2 linked regions of the Arabidopsis thaliana genome follow. The protein of the gene in region 1 interacts with the protein of each later gene in a pairwise test. Each region holds a gene or a part of one and is shown in the gene's direction. Other genes may lie near its edges.

Region 1 (8,197 bases):
TTTTTCAATCTACTTTGGTGTTGTGTAATTTATGTTACCATATAAATTTTGTTATAGATTCTGGATACTCTTAGGAACCATAATGTCTGAATACTTTTTGAGACGTGTCAAGGGAGAGATTTGAATCATAAAGTTTGTTTTTTTTAGTTTATAGCTGATGGTTCTGAAAATGTTTTCCCTTTATGCTGATCCAGGTGTTTACTGCCGCTGATGTGGTTATTGATTGGGACGAACAGTTTGTTGGTACTGAAGTAGATCCTAGAACCAATAGTTTCTTGACATGGGATAATCTTCAATCTGTGCTTAAAAACAAGGTTGGTTTGAAAGGACCAATGGCTACTCCAATTGGAAAGGGTCACCGTTCCTTGAACCTTACTCTTAGGAAAGAGCTGAATTTGTATGCCAATGTTAGGCCTTGTTACAGTCTTCCTGGTTACAAAACCCGTTATGATGATGTTGATCTCATTACCATTCGTGAGAACACTGAAGGAGAGTACAGTGGGCTTGAACACCAGGTTAGTCTATTGTTCTGTCATTTTAGTGAATCTGTATCTAGTATCATTTTTAGAGCCATGTTGATGATTTGTCATTTTTATTTGCTAGGTCGTCAAGGGTGTAGTGGAAAGTCTTAAAATTATTACCCGTAAGGCGAGTATGAGAGTTGCCGAGTATGCCTTTCTTTATGCCAAGACTCACGGAAGGAAGAAAGTTTCTGCAATTCACAAAGCCAACATTATGCAGAAAACTGATGGTCTTTTCCTGCAGGTCAGCTCATTTTGGAACTCAGAATACATTAGCACTTCTCAATTAGGGGAACATAGCAATTTTTCTAGTCTCTCACTGGCTTCTTTTTCTTAACCTTTGTTCTGAGACAAGTTTTTATTTGCTTCCTGCTTTGCAGTGTTGTGATGAAGTTGCTGCGAAGTATCCTGAGATATATTACGAGAAGGTTGTTATTGACAATTGCTGTATGATGGTAAGCTATAACATGATATCCACCCTATCTTTTGTTCCAAATTATGTAAAGGTCAATCTCATTGTTAATTAAGTTAGTATTTGGGATAATCTTGTTGATTTTGAAGGTTAGATTTCCCAGCAACCCATACTTGGGTCTGCTTTTCGCTAATTTTACTTATGGAACAATGTGGGATTGATAATCTTAATTCTGACAGCTTGTGAAAAACCCAGCACTTTTTGATGTCTTGGTGATGCCAAATCTCTATGGAGATATTATCAGCGATTTGTGTGCTGGACTTGTTGGGGGACTAGGACTGACTCCTAGGTAACATTTGTTTCTTCGTCTCACAGATTATTGTCTAGTATGAAAATGAGGCAATCATCTTATGCTCTTATTATGTTTTGTTCCAGTATGAATATTGGGGAGGATGGTATTGCCCTTGCTGAAGCTGTTCACGGCTCTGCACCTGATATTGCTGGAATGGTTAGTCATCATTCTTAGATGTTATCATCGTTCTAAATTCGTTTGATGCATAGAGTTGTTGTTAACTTGTTAAATTATTAGAGTAAATAGGATTTAGACACTGCATTACAGATTTTGACAAATTTAAGTGAACTTGCCTACTTTTACCCTAAAACTAAGTATGATAGAAGCTGTTCCTGAGAGAAGATTCTCCATTACTCTCTTCTATGCCATTTCTTGGTTGAACATTCAGAAGCTTTCATTGTAGAATGGATTATTGTCTAGTTTATATTGTAGAATGGTTCTTACTGGATGATCGTGCTTGTAGTACTTGAATGATGTTAATAACTGGCCAACCTAGCATTGAGGGTTAAGGAGTCTAATAAATAAATCATGTTTTCAAATACAGTGGGTTTAGATATTATCTTGCCACTATTCAATATCAGAACTTGATTCGATTTTTAGCTTATGATCCACATGTTTGTTATTCTTTGCTGGTGTTGTGTAGAACCTGGCGAACCCAACAGCTTTGCTACTGAGTGGAGTGATGATGTTGCGGCACCTGAAGCTCAACAAACAAGCAGAGCAAATCCACAGTGCCATCATCAACACAATAGCCGAGGGAAAGTATAGAACTGCTGATCTCGGAGGTTCCTCAACTACAACAGATTTCACAAAAGCCATCTGTGATCATCTCTAAACACCCGTGAAAAACCATAATTCTTTCCTTACTTACTTATTGGATCTTCCTCTTGGATTTTCACTCCAAAATTTTTCTACATATTGATCCTCTTCCTATGAGGAGAAACAAAGCCGCCATAGGCTTTAGACATTGACTTGTGTTTTCCTTAGATTTGAAGTTCTTGCAGAGCTGTATTACTTCTTCTGCCTTTAAGATCCATAACAAAAGAAGGATACAGATATTGGAAGAATCCATCAAAAGGTTCACATTTACAGTTTGTGGATTTTGCCTGAATTGTTTGGCGTTATGTCTTATTCTCTGTGAATTTTCAACAATAATAATATCGTCCCTTTTGTCCTTACCTAAATTGTTTGCCTATTCTCTGTGAATGAATGAATACATAACTCTCAAACCCTGAAAAGTGAAAACTTTCAATGCTGAAACAAACCAACGTGGATGATTCAGGACTTTTCAATGCCACCGACAAATTCAATCTTTTTCCTATTCATTTTGTAAGTTGCAATGCTGTCACATTTGGTTTTCTCATTGTTTTTAACTCTCTCTTAAAGAAACAACTTAATTAGAATTTTTATGTTCTTACAACAAGATCCAATAGACTTTTGGACATGTGTTGACACTTTTCTCAAGTGGGTTGGTGGGATAGGGACGTATATAGCTGCATTTGACAACAACACTACTCTATTTCATCAATTATTTCGTTACTCATAAATTTTGTTTCAGTTAACTTTTCTCTACAAATGAAGTTGAATGAAATGAACTATACTAAAATTTGGTTTAATATAGAATTAGAAATTCCAATGGCAAATTTATGCATGATTTTGAGCTAATATATAAATATACATTATTTTGCCCAAAAAAAAAGATAAATATGCATTAAAAAATAATATATATAAAATAATAGGAAGAAGAAGAATCTATCTTTGGTATACCTACTTTGGTTTCAGAGCTTATAAACACAAACACTTCACTCACACAAAACACTTGCTCCTCCATTTACCAGATCTGAACCTCTTCCCTTTCCTCGAAAATCCTTCTAACATCATCATCCATGGCTTCCTCTGATTTCGATGGAATCCTTTTGGGAATGGGAAACCCACTCCTCGACGTCTCTGCCGTCGTCGACCAACAGTTTCTCGACAAGTAAGCTCAGATCCGGATCGTTTTCGCTCGGATCTAGATTGTTTGTGTTTACGATATTCTTTATGGGTTCTCTGAATTCTAATGCTTTCTTTTGAATTCGTGACAGATACGACATCAAATTGAACAATGCGATTCTCGCAGAGGACAAACATTTGCCCATGTAAGTGAATTCACTTTTTCTCAATCCTAGCGTGCATTTGAATTCAAATGGTGATAATGAGGATTGATTAGTATTTACTCTTCAAGTTGTTCTGTAATTGATGTGGATATGTATATGTAATCTGCGTAGAAGAATTATGATTTGATTGTGACAAGTGCTATGTTTAAGGGAAACAGACACAAGTGTGGTGATTTTTCATTGCCCTTAAGTGATTCTTGATGTGATTTTAATATGACAGTGATTATTTTTCAAATACTCTTTGTTTATTCACATGATAATTGGTATGTTTAGGTACGATGAAATGAGCCAGAAGTTCAATGTTGAATACATTGCTGGAGGTAATTCATCTTTTGAGCTATCAATAGACATTTGGTGTTCATGTGTATTTGCAGTATTTTTGATATTTTCTTGATTTCGTTTGGCTTTCAGGTGCTACCCAGAACTCAATCAAAGTGGCCCAGGTAAAGGATAATTACGGTTTCTACTCATACTTGTTTTGAAGTTAGTACCTTTTTTTGCTAAATGAATGGTATCTTTGATTACTGCAGTGGATGCTTCAAGTTCCTGGGGCAACCAGTTACATGGGATCCATTGGAAAGGACAAATACGGAGAGGCAATGAAGAAGGATGCTACAGCAGCTGGTGTCTATGTGAGTCTGCTTTATGTTTATCAATTATTAATTATTGGTGGTTGGTTTTGCTTCATGTTCAATCATCAGGAAATAGACTGTTAATCTGCGCTTGTTCTGTATCCAGGTCCACTATTACGAAGATGAGGCAACACCTACCGGAACTTGCGGTGTCTGTGTTCTTGGTGGAGAAAGGTCAGTTTACAATAATTCTTTCTATGTCTGCTTATCATTTGTCTTAATAAGATGTGTTTCTGCTGAGTTGTACTGAGGCGTGTTTCCCCTTTTGCAGATCGCTCATTGCCAATCTTTCTGCTGCTAATTGCTACAAGGTTGAACACTTGAAGAAGCCTGAGAACTGGGCTCTGGGTACAAAACTCATCTTCTGACCTTTTTATTCTGAGATCGGATATTGTCATATGTTGGAGTTATCTGAGATTTTGTGAAACATATTTCTTTCTTGGCAGTTGAGAAGGCCAAGTTTTATTACATTGCTGGATTCTTCCTCACGGTATCACCAGAATCCATTCAGTTGGTACGTGAACATGCTGCTGCAAACAACAAGGTATGAATACATGATCCTTTATGAGAGCCAGGCACAGTGATTTGTTTCTCCTACCAGTGTTGTCTTTGGCATGAACAGTCCTGATATGCTCACATATTTGACAGGTGTTCACGATGAACCTTTCTGCTCCATTCATCTGTGAATTCTTCAAAGATGTTCAGGAGAAGTGCCTGCCGTAAGCACATCCTAATCTCTCGATCCATTTATTCCATCTTATAATTGCCTAAACTAATCACTGGCGATATACTGAAAAGCAAGACGCTGCATCTAATGTCTTGCTTGGACCAGGTACATGGACTATATTTTTGGCAATGAGACCGAGGCAAGAACCTTCTCCAGGGTTCACGGCTGGGAGGTAACTGTCGAAATTTCACCCTGTATTGTTTGAAGAAAGACAGTTTATTAATCTGTTTGGTTATATTTTATACAGACTGATGATGTTGAGCAAATAGCCATCAAGATGTCCCAGTTACCCAAAGCCTCTGGAACATACAAGAGGACTACTGTGATTACACAAGGCGCAGATCCTGTGGTTGTCGCTGAGGATGGAAAAGTGAAGAAGTACCCAGTCATCCCTCTCCCCAAAGAGAAGCTTGTTGACACCAACGGTGCAGGTATTTGTTAAGAACTCAGGCCTCACTAACTGCACTCTAACTAAGTCACAGCAGCTCGAATTTGCTACATTCCGTCCTAGATTAGATACAGCTTAACTTATAGCTAAGAGTTAAAAGCTTATTATTGTTTGATGATATCAACCACTCATCTAATTATAGCATAAAAACTCTTATCCAAATCCAGGTTTACCAAACCGTTTGCTTTGTTATATTGTAATAAGAAGATTATCATACATTTTGTATCAGTCTCAAGTAAACTAATTCCGGTGGTTTAACCCTCTTGGTTCTCTGTGTTCATAGGTGATGCATTTGTGGGAGGGTTTCTGTCCCAGCTGGTGCACGGAAAGGGGATTGAAGAGTGTGTGAGGGCAGGATGCTACGCGTCAAACGTAGTGATCCAGAGGTCTGGTTGCACTTACCCTGAGAAACCAGACTTCAACTAAATCTAGAAGTCGCACAAATCATCCTTTTAGTTTTATCTCTGAATGAGATTTTGGTGATTATTATTATACGACCCAAATAAACTCTATGTTGTTTTCTTGTATCACCTTTTGAGGCTTTAAGCTATTATTGAGTGTGTGTTTTGGCTTGGTTTTATTGTACCTTTTTATGATTAATAAATATTATTACTATACTAGGCCGAGTATGATATTCCAAATGTCAAAATGTTCATAACTTGTTATATCTTCATGGATGTAATTATCCTCTATTTTTGTTTGAACTTGCTTCATTTCATGAAATAATTGAATGATCATTATTCCCTATAATGTACATTACTGTTATATTAACTAGTTTCTCTGTTCGAATTCTATTTGGTTCGGTTCAACGAAACAACATTGGACATTCCTATGCAAAGAAAATTTGCAGAATCTTTTGTGTCGGCACATGTATAGAACAATTTCTATTGAATCATGGAAATGACAAGTATAATGTCTCGTTTTGGATGTATTTGATAATGTAAAGTAGGACCAGTATGACTCGTAAAAGACTTTTGACTTTGGACGATATCAACAACTTTGACTTTTACTTCACTTGTACAGTTCTACTTTCTTATCTTCTACGTATACTAATCAAACGAATTTGTGCATAAATTGGCATGGGAAAGGCCACGAGTCAAATATGATTTGATCCATTTTAGTTTTAACATCTATTGGTACGTACGTGAAGTTACGAGATTTGAGTGAAGGCGAATAATATCAATACGAAAAGTACAAAACCGGGATCAAACCGCAAATTGTAACACAGCAAGCGTAAGCAACACGACAAAGTGGTATGGATTAGTTTAACATAATCGTATAAATAGGTTAAGTTACCAAGGTTTAAGGTATCTCAACAAGTGGTACAAATTACCAAACAAGATTTTAAGAAACATATAGATCAATCGGGATTCGGAAACCAATACCGAGGATTTCTTTAATTCATTATTTTTTGTGTGAAAATGCTAAACTTTGTCGTTAAATTTATGTACTCTAGGTTCTAGGAAGATTTAGGAAATCTCCTAGGTGACCCAAGTGAAATATCCCTTCCACTTCCCCATTGCAAATCTCATGATTACCATAAACAAATAAGATTAGTAGTAGAGAACTATGCTTGTTAACATAAACATTAATGTAATTATGTAAGATTATATTTTGAACCACTTTGGAAAGTGGAAACCATTTTGGCATCATGGGCCGACTCACCCACCTTAAGAATAAAACTTCGTATTGTTATAGATTTTCAATCACTGATATTTAACAATGGTTTTTTTTTTTTTGCAACAGATGGTTGATGTTAGATGATAGTAAGTTAGTACCATTAAATATAAAACAACATTAATGAATACTTGAAAATTATAAAACTGTGACTATATTATCTATACATAATCTATAAAAAATATTTATTTTTCAAAAGCTCAAACATTGGTTGAGTTGTCTATCATAAATGCATAATCATATACATCTTGAGTCACTCACCGTCGTTTATTGTAGACTTTGTAGATAGTTTTATTTTGTATGTTAAAACGTTTCACCATCGTTTATTCGCATTCCATTAATTTGAAGATTTATTCTGTCATAGTAAAATTCCCTAAACAATAGAAAATGATGTTGTTGAAATAAGTAAGATTTTATTACTAAATAAGACCATAACTCATAAGTGATTTAGATACACTGATCGATCTGTTGGCTACTTTTCTAAGCACCTCACCGTTGAACAAGTCAAAGGAAAAAGAAATGAAAACGTTGTTTTTATGTGTGATTGTGTGTCTAATAAAAGAATATTAATTTTGGAAACATCTTTTAATAGTAACAAATAATTCATTTGTTTTGTCCAATTTAAATTCTCAGTTCTTCGTTCTTTCGCTGACTTTAGCTATCTCTCTCTGTAAAGACTTCGTTTTTTTTTTGTTGCCGTGTGACGACTTCTTCTTCCTCTTCTTCTTCGACCTCTTTCTCTCGGAAGCTTAGCTTCTTAAAATCCATTTCTCTCGGAAGCTTAGCTTCTCAAATCCTCGATCTCTTTTGTATCGTGATTCATTAACCACTTCATGATAATTATAATCTTCCTTCTCTTCTGACGATTGAATTACATCTTCTTCTGATAGCTGTTCTGATTTTTTTCTGTATACAAAGTAAATTCAAAGGTGAGAGTTGTGTCATCTTTTGCTTTTTATATACTTGTTCAATAAGTCAAAGTTCTTTATGTTGCTGTTGGGTTTTAGTTTATTGGAATCAACTTGCGAAATTTGATTACTTTTAGCTTCGAGATCCCTTCTATTACTCACTGGAACTTAGGGTTTGTGTTACTTGGAAAAGAATTTGGATCTGTTGGGTCTAAAGGCCTTCCTCTCTGTTAAGTGGTTTTGTACTTGGGGGAAGCCTTAACTTTGGAAATGCTTGTACTTTGCAGATTAGTTGTTCGATAATATGCTTCAATGGTTTTGATTTTGTGGTTCGGTATATGTTATATGATCATTATCAGTGTTT
Region 2 (7,715 bases), on another chromosome or scaffold:
TTTATAAACAAGAAATAGTTGGTAGCCTCCCTTTGAAACCTTTTTTCGTGGACATACTAATTAACTAACTACACGATTGAGGAGTTGTTATGGTTAACAAATTTATTTATTATTATTGCATCGTGCCCTCGGTTGATCAAAGAATATTAAGTATTTAATATTTGCTAGAGAATGGCATGATCATGGGGTTTGGAGAGGAGAGTAGGTGGTTTTGTATGCATGTGAGTCGGTGAGGGTCAAAATCGTCTTTTCAATTTAAGATTTGATTATGTGGTCATTAAATAGTAACGTAGTGCCTAGTGGTATTGGCAGATCTGAGGTCAACATGTGATGTGACGAAGATCTTCATTTTCTTCGTAAACACACAGAATACTGAAGTTAGAAAAATGTCTTTTTCAGGTAATATTTACTCAGTAAAGAAAAAAGGCTGGTAAAAGTAAACTTTTAAGTTTGAACGTTAAAGTCAATTTAATAGTGTTTATTTATTTATTCGACATGTAGAAAATTAAACGATCTACGTAAAATATGAATACAAAAATATTAAATATTAGAATAAAGTGAGAGTATGTGTAAATCACGTTTTGGTGAATTTTTTCCATGTGGTAGAATAATAGAGGAGGACTTTTGTTGTAAAGTAAGCTTCACCAACCTCGATTTTTAGACCTGTATAATTGGAAACCCACCTACCTCCGCAAATACAACGAAAAGTATTGTCTTATAATACTTTCTTAATTAAATAACAATTCTTTTGGAGTCATATCATATATATACTCCTATTGTGGTGTCGACATGGTGACATACTACATAATGAAACCGGTGAGATTATTCTTCTGCTAAACTTGTATGATGACCGGTGAGATTATTCCTAAAATATATTAAAACCTAGAATGAATTCTTTCTTTTATACGTCATGGTTTGCTTACAAAAAGAAATGAAATACCAAATTTTCACGTTTTTCAAATAATTGTGTTGTCTTTTTCTGTTTTGAAAAATAGTTTTACCGGTATGTTATCACATTTAAAAATTTTAATAAATACTTCTCATATACTGAAAGAAGTAATATATTTTTATATCATATTTTATTATTTTCGATCGATTTCCAATAGAAACAATTTCGATAAAATTACATTTTTTTGTAAATAATATATAAATTTTTTGTAGATTACATTAATAGAACTGCTGAAAATGGTCTTTAAATCCTCTTCCTCTTCAACATTTTTCCAAATTTGACATTTTGACTCCGAATCTCACTTATAAGTTGTAATAATAATGTTCATTAGTGCATTAGTTTCCTCCTTCGTTGCCCAACAAAAGAATAAGCTATCATTGACAGTTTTATGATATTCGGAGTTCCAAAATCATTTTTCGAAACTCGGCCTTTTAAGGCATTTGGATCAAAACTTCGGTGCATATACTAAAAACATATGGATATATCGGGTTGAGTCGCCTCGTAGAATTCCTCGAGAAGATATATATTTTGACTTGGTGCTGGCCATTTGTAAGAATAGCATAAGCCACCAGTCACCAAGATTATTCATCGTAAATTGTAACAAACTCACCATTATTTGGAGAGCCCAAAGATACTACTCAATCTTCTTACCATAAACTTTTGTCACTGTCTTATAAGCTATAAGATTACTGGTCTACTTAACTCAGAAATATTTATGTCCTTTGTAGCCAAAAGCTACACTGAAATTGACACAACTCGAGTGTTGTCCTTTTCTGGTCGATTGAATAGAATCGAATGTCTTAATCCAGTACCCTCCAGCTTTTATTTCGTGTAATTTATTTTCCAAACCTACCACTACCAGTTTCATAACTCTCGAATAAATTTATCAAATAGTCTTTTGAGTGCTCAAAGTCTTGGGATAATAAATGGTCAGTGCTATGTATCACCCGGATGTGAAACATTATGGGTGGAGATAGACTATTATAAATTTATTGAAATATACGATTGTTACTCGTTTAATAGCAAAAGTAGTACAATGTATATAGTTTCTATCGAGAACAAGATCTATTTAAAATTCGAAAAGTACATTTAAAATTCATAAACATATAAAGATAGTAACATGTTAGATCTGCATAGTACCACCAAAACAAGAAAAAAGAAACGCACATCGCCACATAATTGCTATGATTCTCACTGTCGGCTGCTTTGAAATATTACGATTCTTTTGGTAAATCACACAACATAATATAATTACAATAAATATATATATACTAAAGTATAATTAATATAATTAATACCACATTGTTTAATTCTGTTTTGATCTTTTAAGATCAGTCAGATCCACCGACGTTCCTACACGCGCAGGTCCAGATCCAAACAGCACACACACACACACAATGCCACTAGTGTAAATGCTTGGTGGCTATTGCATTTGCACCTATTGATACTCTTTCTTCAAAAACAAGTTATTGTTTTTATTTTCAACCCAACTTTAATACGGATTCATACTGGGATTTAGGTGTTAAATCTGATAATTTAGGTTTGAATAAGTTGTATATTTGTTTCTTTGATTAAAAAAAGAACCTATATATATACAAAAATAAATAAAAAGTTCTAGATTTCAATTTTCCGTATATAGCGGGTTGAATTGTCTATTTTAATATGAAAATTGACGGATCTTATAAACAAAATGTTCTGAAATATGTAAAAGGATTTAGCCAAAGTTAACCAAAAAAAAAAAACAAACAGAAAAGTCACATTCACATGTCGTGGTAGATCTAAGGCATTAATTTAGAAATATGTCGTTACAATAAGCGGAGAACATGGGACGTTTCTCGTGGTCCAATCAGACGAACGAGATCTCATAAATTAAATGACTTCAGACGAGGGAATTCATGGCAGAATGATAATGCAACTTAAGTGACTTTAGAGTGAAAATGATACGAGAACAATGCATAATCCATATGACCGTTGAGTGAGTGATACCATTAGCGCGATACAAGCGGGACTATAAACTGATCTAGATTGTTTTTCTTGGGAAAAAATGTTACAAATTTTAAATATGTAGTTTGAATTGTTAAACCAAGATTCAACAGAAATATACCGTAAATAAACAACAGTTGATAATAGTCATCGAAAAGATATCAACTGATTCTTCACTTGGGCTACTGTGACGGCCCGTTAGGGTTCTCAATATAAGTCAATAACTACGATCTACGATTCACTGAAACAAATAAAACACAGCCACGTGTCCACCCTCCCACATCACCGTCCGATCTAACCCACGACAAGCTTACAACACGGGTCATACCGCTCGTGCAGCGTGTTCCGTCATCCACGGGATTACAACTTCTACCAGATCCACCAAACCCTCAAAACAATCTGAACCGTTCATTTCATTTTGACCTCATCTATATATTCTCTGTCACTCCCTTTCTCTTCTCCTCGCACACACTTCTCTCTCTCTCTCTCTCTGCCTCCTTTCGGATTCAAATCTCAGATCTAGCTCAACCATGGCGTTGCTCGTCGAGAAGACCTCAAGTGGCCGTGAATACAAGGTCAAAGACATGTCTCAAGCCGATTTCGGTCGTCTCGAACTCGAGCTCGCCGAAGTTGAGATGCCTGGACTCATGGCTTGTCGTACCGAATTCGGACCTTCTCAGCCATTCAAAGGCGCTAGAATCACCGGATCTCTTCACATGACCATCCAAACCGCCGTACTCATCGAAACCCTAACTGCTCTCGGTGCTGAAGTCAGATGGTGTTCCTGCAACATCTTTTCCACTCAAGACCACGCCGCCGCAGCCATCGCTCGTGACTCCGCCGCTGTTTTCGCCTGGAAAGGTGAGACTCTTCAGGAGTACTGGTGGTGTACCGAGCGTGCTCTAGATTGGGGTCCAGGTGGTGGTCCTGATCTGATTGTTGATGATGGTGGTGACGCTACTCTTTTGATTCATGAGGGTGTTAAAGCTGAGGAGATCTTTGAGAAGACTGGTCAAGTTCCTGATCCTACTTCTACTGATAACCCTGAGTTTCAGATCGTGTTGTCTATTATCAAGGAAGGTCTTCAAGTTGATCCTAAGAAGTACCACAAGATGAAGGAGAGACTTGTTGGTGTCTCTGAGGAAACTACCACTGGTGTTAAGAGGCTTTACCAGATGCAGCAAAATGGAACTCTTTTGTTCCCTGCCATTAACGTTAACGACTCTGTCACCAAGAGCAAGGTATTGATCTTCAGATTTGTTTCTTTACTAGTGATGATAAATCTGCTAGGTCTTTAGCTCTGTAGTTTTTGATGCGATAGGCTTAACAACAACATAATCACTAAGTAGAAGCAAGCTTTTCATTGTTGGTTGTTGAAAGTATTACGATCTAGTAGAGAAAAGTCCTTCCTTGGTTACAGAATTTGCATGAAAAGTCAATATTTCTCATGCTTTCTTTGATTTTATATTCAACGTTTTGTTTACACTTATGTGCTGTTACTGATAAATTCATTTGTTCTTGATTTACAGTTCGACAACTTGTATGGTTGCCGTCACTCACTCCCTGATGGTCTCATGAGGGCCACTGATGTCATGATCGCTGGAAAGGTTGCTGTTATCTGTGGATATGGTGATGTTGGAAAGGGTTGTGCTGCTGCCATGAAGACTGCTGGTGCTAGAGTCATTGTGACTGAGATTGATCCCATCTGTGCCCTTCAAGCTTTGATGGAAGGACTTCAGGTTCTTACCCTTGAGGATGTTGTCTCAGAAGCTGATATCTTTGTCACCACCACCGGTAACAAAGACATCATCATGGTCGACCACATGAGGAAGATGAAGAACAACGCTATTGTGTGCAACATTGGTCACTTTGACAATGAGATTGACATGCTTGGACTTGAGACTTACCCTGGTGTGAAGCGTATCACCATCAAGCCACAGACTGACAGGTGGGTGTTCCCAGAGACCAAGGCTGGAATCATTGTCTTGGCTGAGGGTCGTCTGATGAACTTGGGTTGTGCCACTGGTCACCCAAGTTTCGTGATGTCTTGCTCTTTCACCAACCAGGTGATTGCCCAGCTCGAGCTCTGGAACGAGAAAGCAAGCGGAAAGTACGAGAAGAAGGTGTACGTTCTTCCCAAGCATTTGGATGAGAAGGTTGCATTACTTCACTTGGGCAAGCTTGGAGCCAGGCTTACAAAGCTGTCAAAGGACCAATCTGACTACGTCAGCATTCCAATTGAGGGACCATACAAGCCTCCTCACTACAGGTACTGAGAGAGAGAGAGAGTCGACAAAGCGGTTCAGGTTCGGATCTACTTGTGGTTTTGTGTTGGGTTGTGGTGGGAGAGTGGAACAGTTTGAGATATTGGTCTTCTGATGAAGTTGACCAAATATCAGTATTAATAAGGGTTATTGGCTTTTGAAGGTTGTGCTTGTTTTCTCCATTTTTCATGAAACTTAAATTAGTTTTTGGTTTAGTTTCCCTCTTGATTTTATTTTGTGTGTTCTGTTTAGCGTTGTACTCTTCAAACAAATGAGAAACCAAAAAAAAAGGGGAAACTTGTTTTCGGCATCCCAGTGTTAGCGACTTTTGTTGAATGAATGTCTCAAATGCTCATCTTTAATAATGTGTGTTAGGACACGAACAACACATGGTTCGATTCGTGGGGGATTTTATGGTTGTAGTTATTATCGTACACGTTTCAAAGTTCTCTTAAGTATTCAAAAAGGCTTTTCCAATATAAATTTTTGATAGCATTTAGCTATAAGATTCGTTTTCATTTTCTTCAATTCTATGTCATCACTGATAAAATCTGCTTTGAAAATTTCAAAATTTATTACTTTTGCAAGAAGAATGTGAACGTTCCTACAAAGAGAGGGGTAGAAAATAAAAACTGGACTCGAAGTAGGAACCCAAACCCGACTGAAAATACTCAAGAGTCCAAGCCCGTTCTAGATAAATACCAAAATGGGTCTTAAGGCTTGGTATTCGGGTACATGATAATATCTGATCCGAACTGAAACATGAACTGTTTACCCGAAACCAGTGGCGGAACTACGTAGGGGGCAGGTTAAAATTCAAAGTGGTGAACGAGTACGGCCTCGAGAGTTTATGGAGTAAGATTCGAATTAGCGTTTCCTACGAAACGCATGAAACCAGTACGTTCGACCAAGAATGATGAGGAGGTTCTTCTGGTTCTCGATGCAAACTTGGGCTTGTACAACTTTGAGTGTAGTACTTGAGAGGAATTAATCTAGAAATCCACGGTGTTGAATTCGACAAATTTCTACGTCTTATCACCAAAACTCATACGTTATAGAGATGAATTGAGGACCTCCAATGTTCATTTCTTTGGAGTTTATAGATTTGGTGGTTTATTTACATTGTTAAGACTACTTTCTTGATTTTCTATACTTACTAAAAATAAACTATAGATGATTTGGTGTTATTAATGATAATTTTAATACTGCTTCCCTTTCTTTCATGCCAATCTGAAACACATCGCTGAGAATTTCCAGGACTTATTGCAAGTTTAATTTGCTTTCTCACGATTTTTCCTTTGCTCGTGTAATTAGCAAAAATCTCAGAATCCTAAGTGAAAAGATTCTAATTTGGTCCAAAAGCACCCAAAAACAAGCAAACAAACACCCAAATTTATCAATCAATCTACCAAAAAAACTTAATATAATTTATAGATCTCAATAATTGAACATTGATAACCAACTAGTGGCAGAGTTACATATATTATAACAATTCTTATGTCAAAAACACATATATAACAACAGCAATGCAAAAGCTTAATCATATAATTTACTTGCCTCGGCCAAAAAGCTTCCAATTTTGGCAATTTCTTGGATCTTACCTTCATGTGTTGATGTCGTTTGTGTCTCTAGCGCATCTGGTAATGGTGTCACAGCCTCTGCTGTAAGAATTAGCTTGTCCAGAGCGACAATCGTAGTAAGAAGCTCCTGGTTTCTGACAAGGAACCATGTCTCTCCTTAGCGTTTCGTAGCCGATGTACCGTTTCTGCGCCATCAGTACTCTCCGGCTGATCTCAGTTGGCATTAGATCTTCATCTTCTCCGATGATACTGTTTCGGATCAACATTGCGTCGATCTCTCCGTTGGGAGACGGAATCGGGAACGCATCGGCGGAGATTAAGAGGAAAAGAATGGCGAAAATCACCAACGCTGTAGAGTTAAACATGTCGATGTTGGAAATTGCAGATTGTGCCGACGCGATCTCTCTCTATTTCTCTGTCTCTAAGCAGAAGAAGAAGCAGAAATGGGGTTAGTTGGTGAAGAAGAAGAGGTGACAAATGTACAGTCAACTTAAACCGGATTTAGGTTTTGGTTTAAGTGTTCGGATTTAGATCGGCCACTCAATTTAAACCGGCCGGTTTGCGAAACAATTAAAGTAGATTCTATCAACGTTTAGAAGCAAGTCTTATACAATTGTAGTCAGCTTAACTATTTATCTAAACAGGAAAAAAAATTATAACCCCTTCAGATAAAATGGTGGTCAACAAAACTATTTAATCATAATCATGAACCTGAGCATAAATTAATAACAACCCCTTTGACCAAATCATCATTGTTTAAATAACCAAATAAGAGAAAGAAATAATAATAAATATAAGCCATAGTATAGAAAAACCATAGCCAAAACATAAACAGTCAATTCCCAACATCAAAATATATCAAAAAGAAAGGTAAATTGGGTTGTATAATTTCATAAGAAATGTTGAAAGGAAACCACTTGAATCTCAAAGAGAGTCAAT

The links.
Region 2: the proteins of ADK1 (region 1) and HOG1 interact in a protein complementation assay, tested with the Arabidopsis thaliana proteins (one study listed by BioGRID).

What each region holds. Positions count from the first base shown.
Region 1 is NC_003074.8:3,008,951-3,017,147, forward strand, and holds ADK1 (adenosine kinase 1), read left to right. Parts: upstream 1-2,829; 5' UTR 2,830-3,171; coding exon 3,172-3,263; intron 3,264-3,369; coding exon 3,370-3,423; exon of another isoform or gene 3,424-3,694; coding exon of another isoform or gene 3,695-3,714; coding exon 3,715-3,761; intron 3,762-3,852; coding exon 3,853-3,884; intron 3,885-3,971; coding exon 3,972-4,073; intron 4,074-4,179; coding exon 4,180-4,247; intron 4,248-4,344; coding exon 4,345-4,421; intron 4,422-4,519; coding exon 4,520-4,617; intron 4,618-4,721; coding exon 4,722-4,792; intron 4,793-4,905; coding exon 4,906-4,972; intron 4,973-5,047; coding exon 5,048-5,231; intron 5,232-5,531; coding exon 5,532-5,674; 3' UTR 5,675-5,994; downstream 5,995-8,197. Other genes in the region: IDH-VI (isocitrate dehydrogenase VI), read left to right, coding at 195-515, 604-765, 902-976, 1,173-1,282, 1,369-1,441, 1,929-2,120. UniProt on the Arabidopsis thaliana protein: ATP dependent phosphorylation of adenosine and other related nucleoside analogs to monophosphate derivatives. Essential to sustain methyl recycling.
Region 2 is NC_003075.7:8,051,469-8,059,183, forward strand, and holds HOG1 (S-adenosyl-L-homocysteine hydrolase), read left to right. Parts: upstream 1-3,204; 5' UTR 3,205-3,462; coding exon 3,463-4,173; intron 4,174-4,461; coding exon 4,462-5,208; 3' UTR 5,209-5,238; coding exon of another isoform or gene 5,239-5,295; 3' UTR 5,296-5,684; downstream 5,685-7,715. Other genes in the region: RALFL31 (ralf-like 31), read right to left, coding at 6,800-7,141. UniProt on the Arabidopsis thaliana protein: Essential protein during embryogenesis.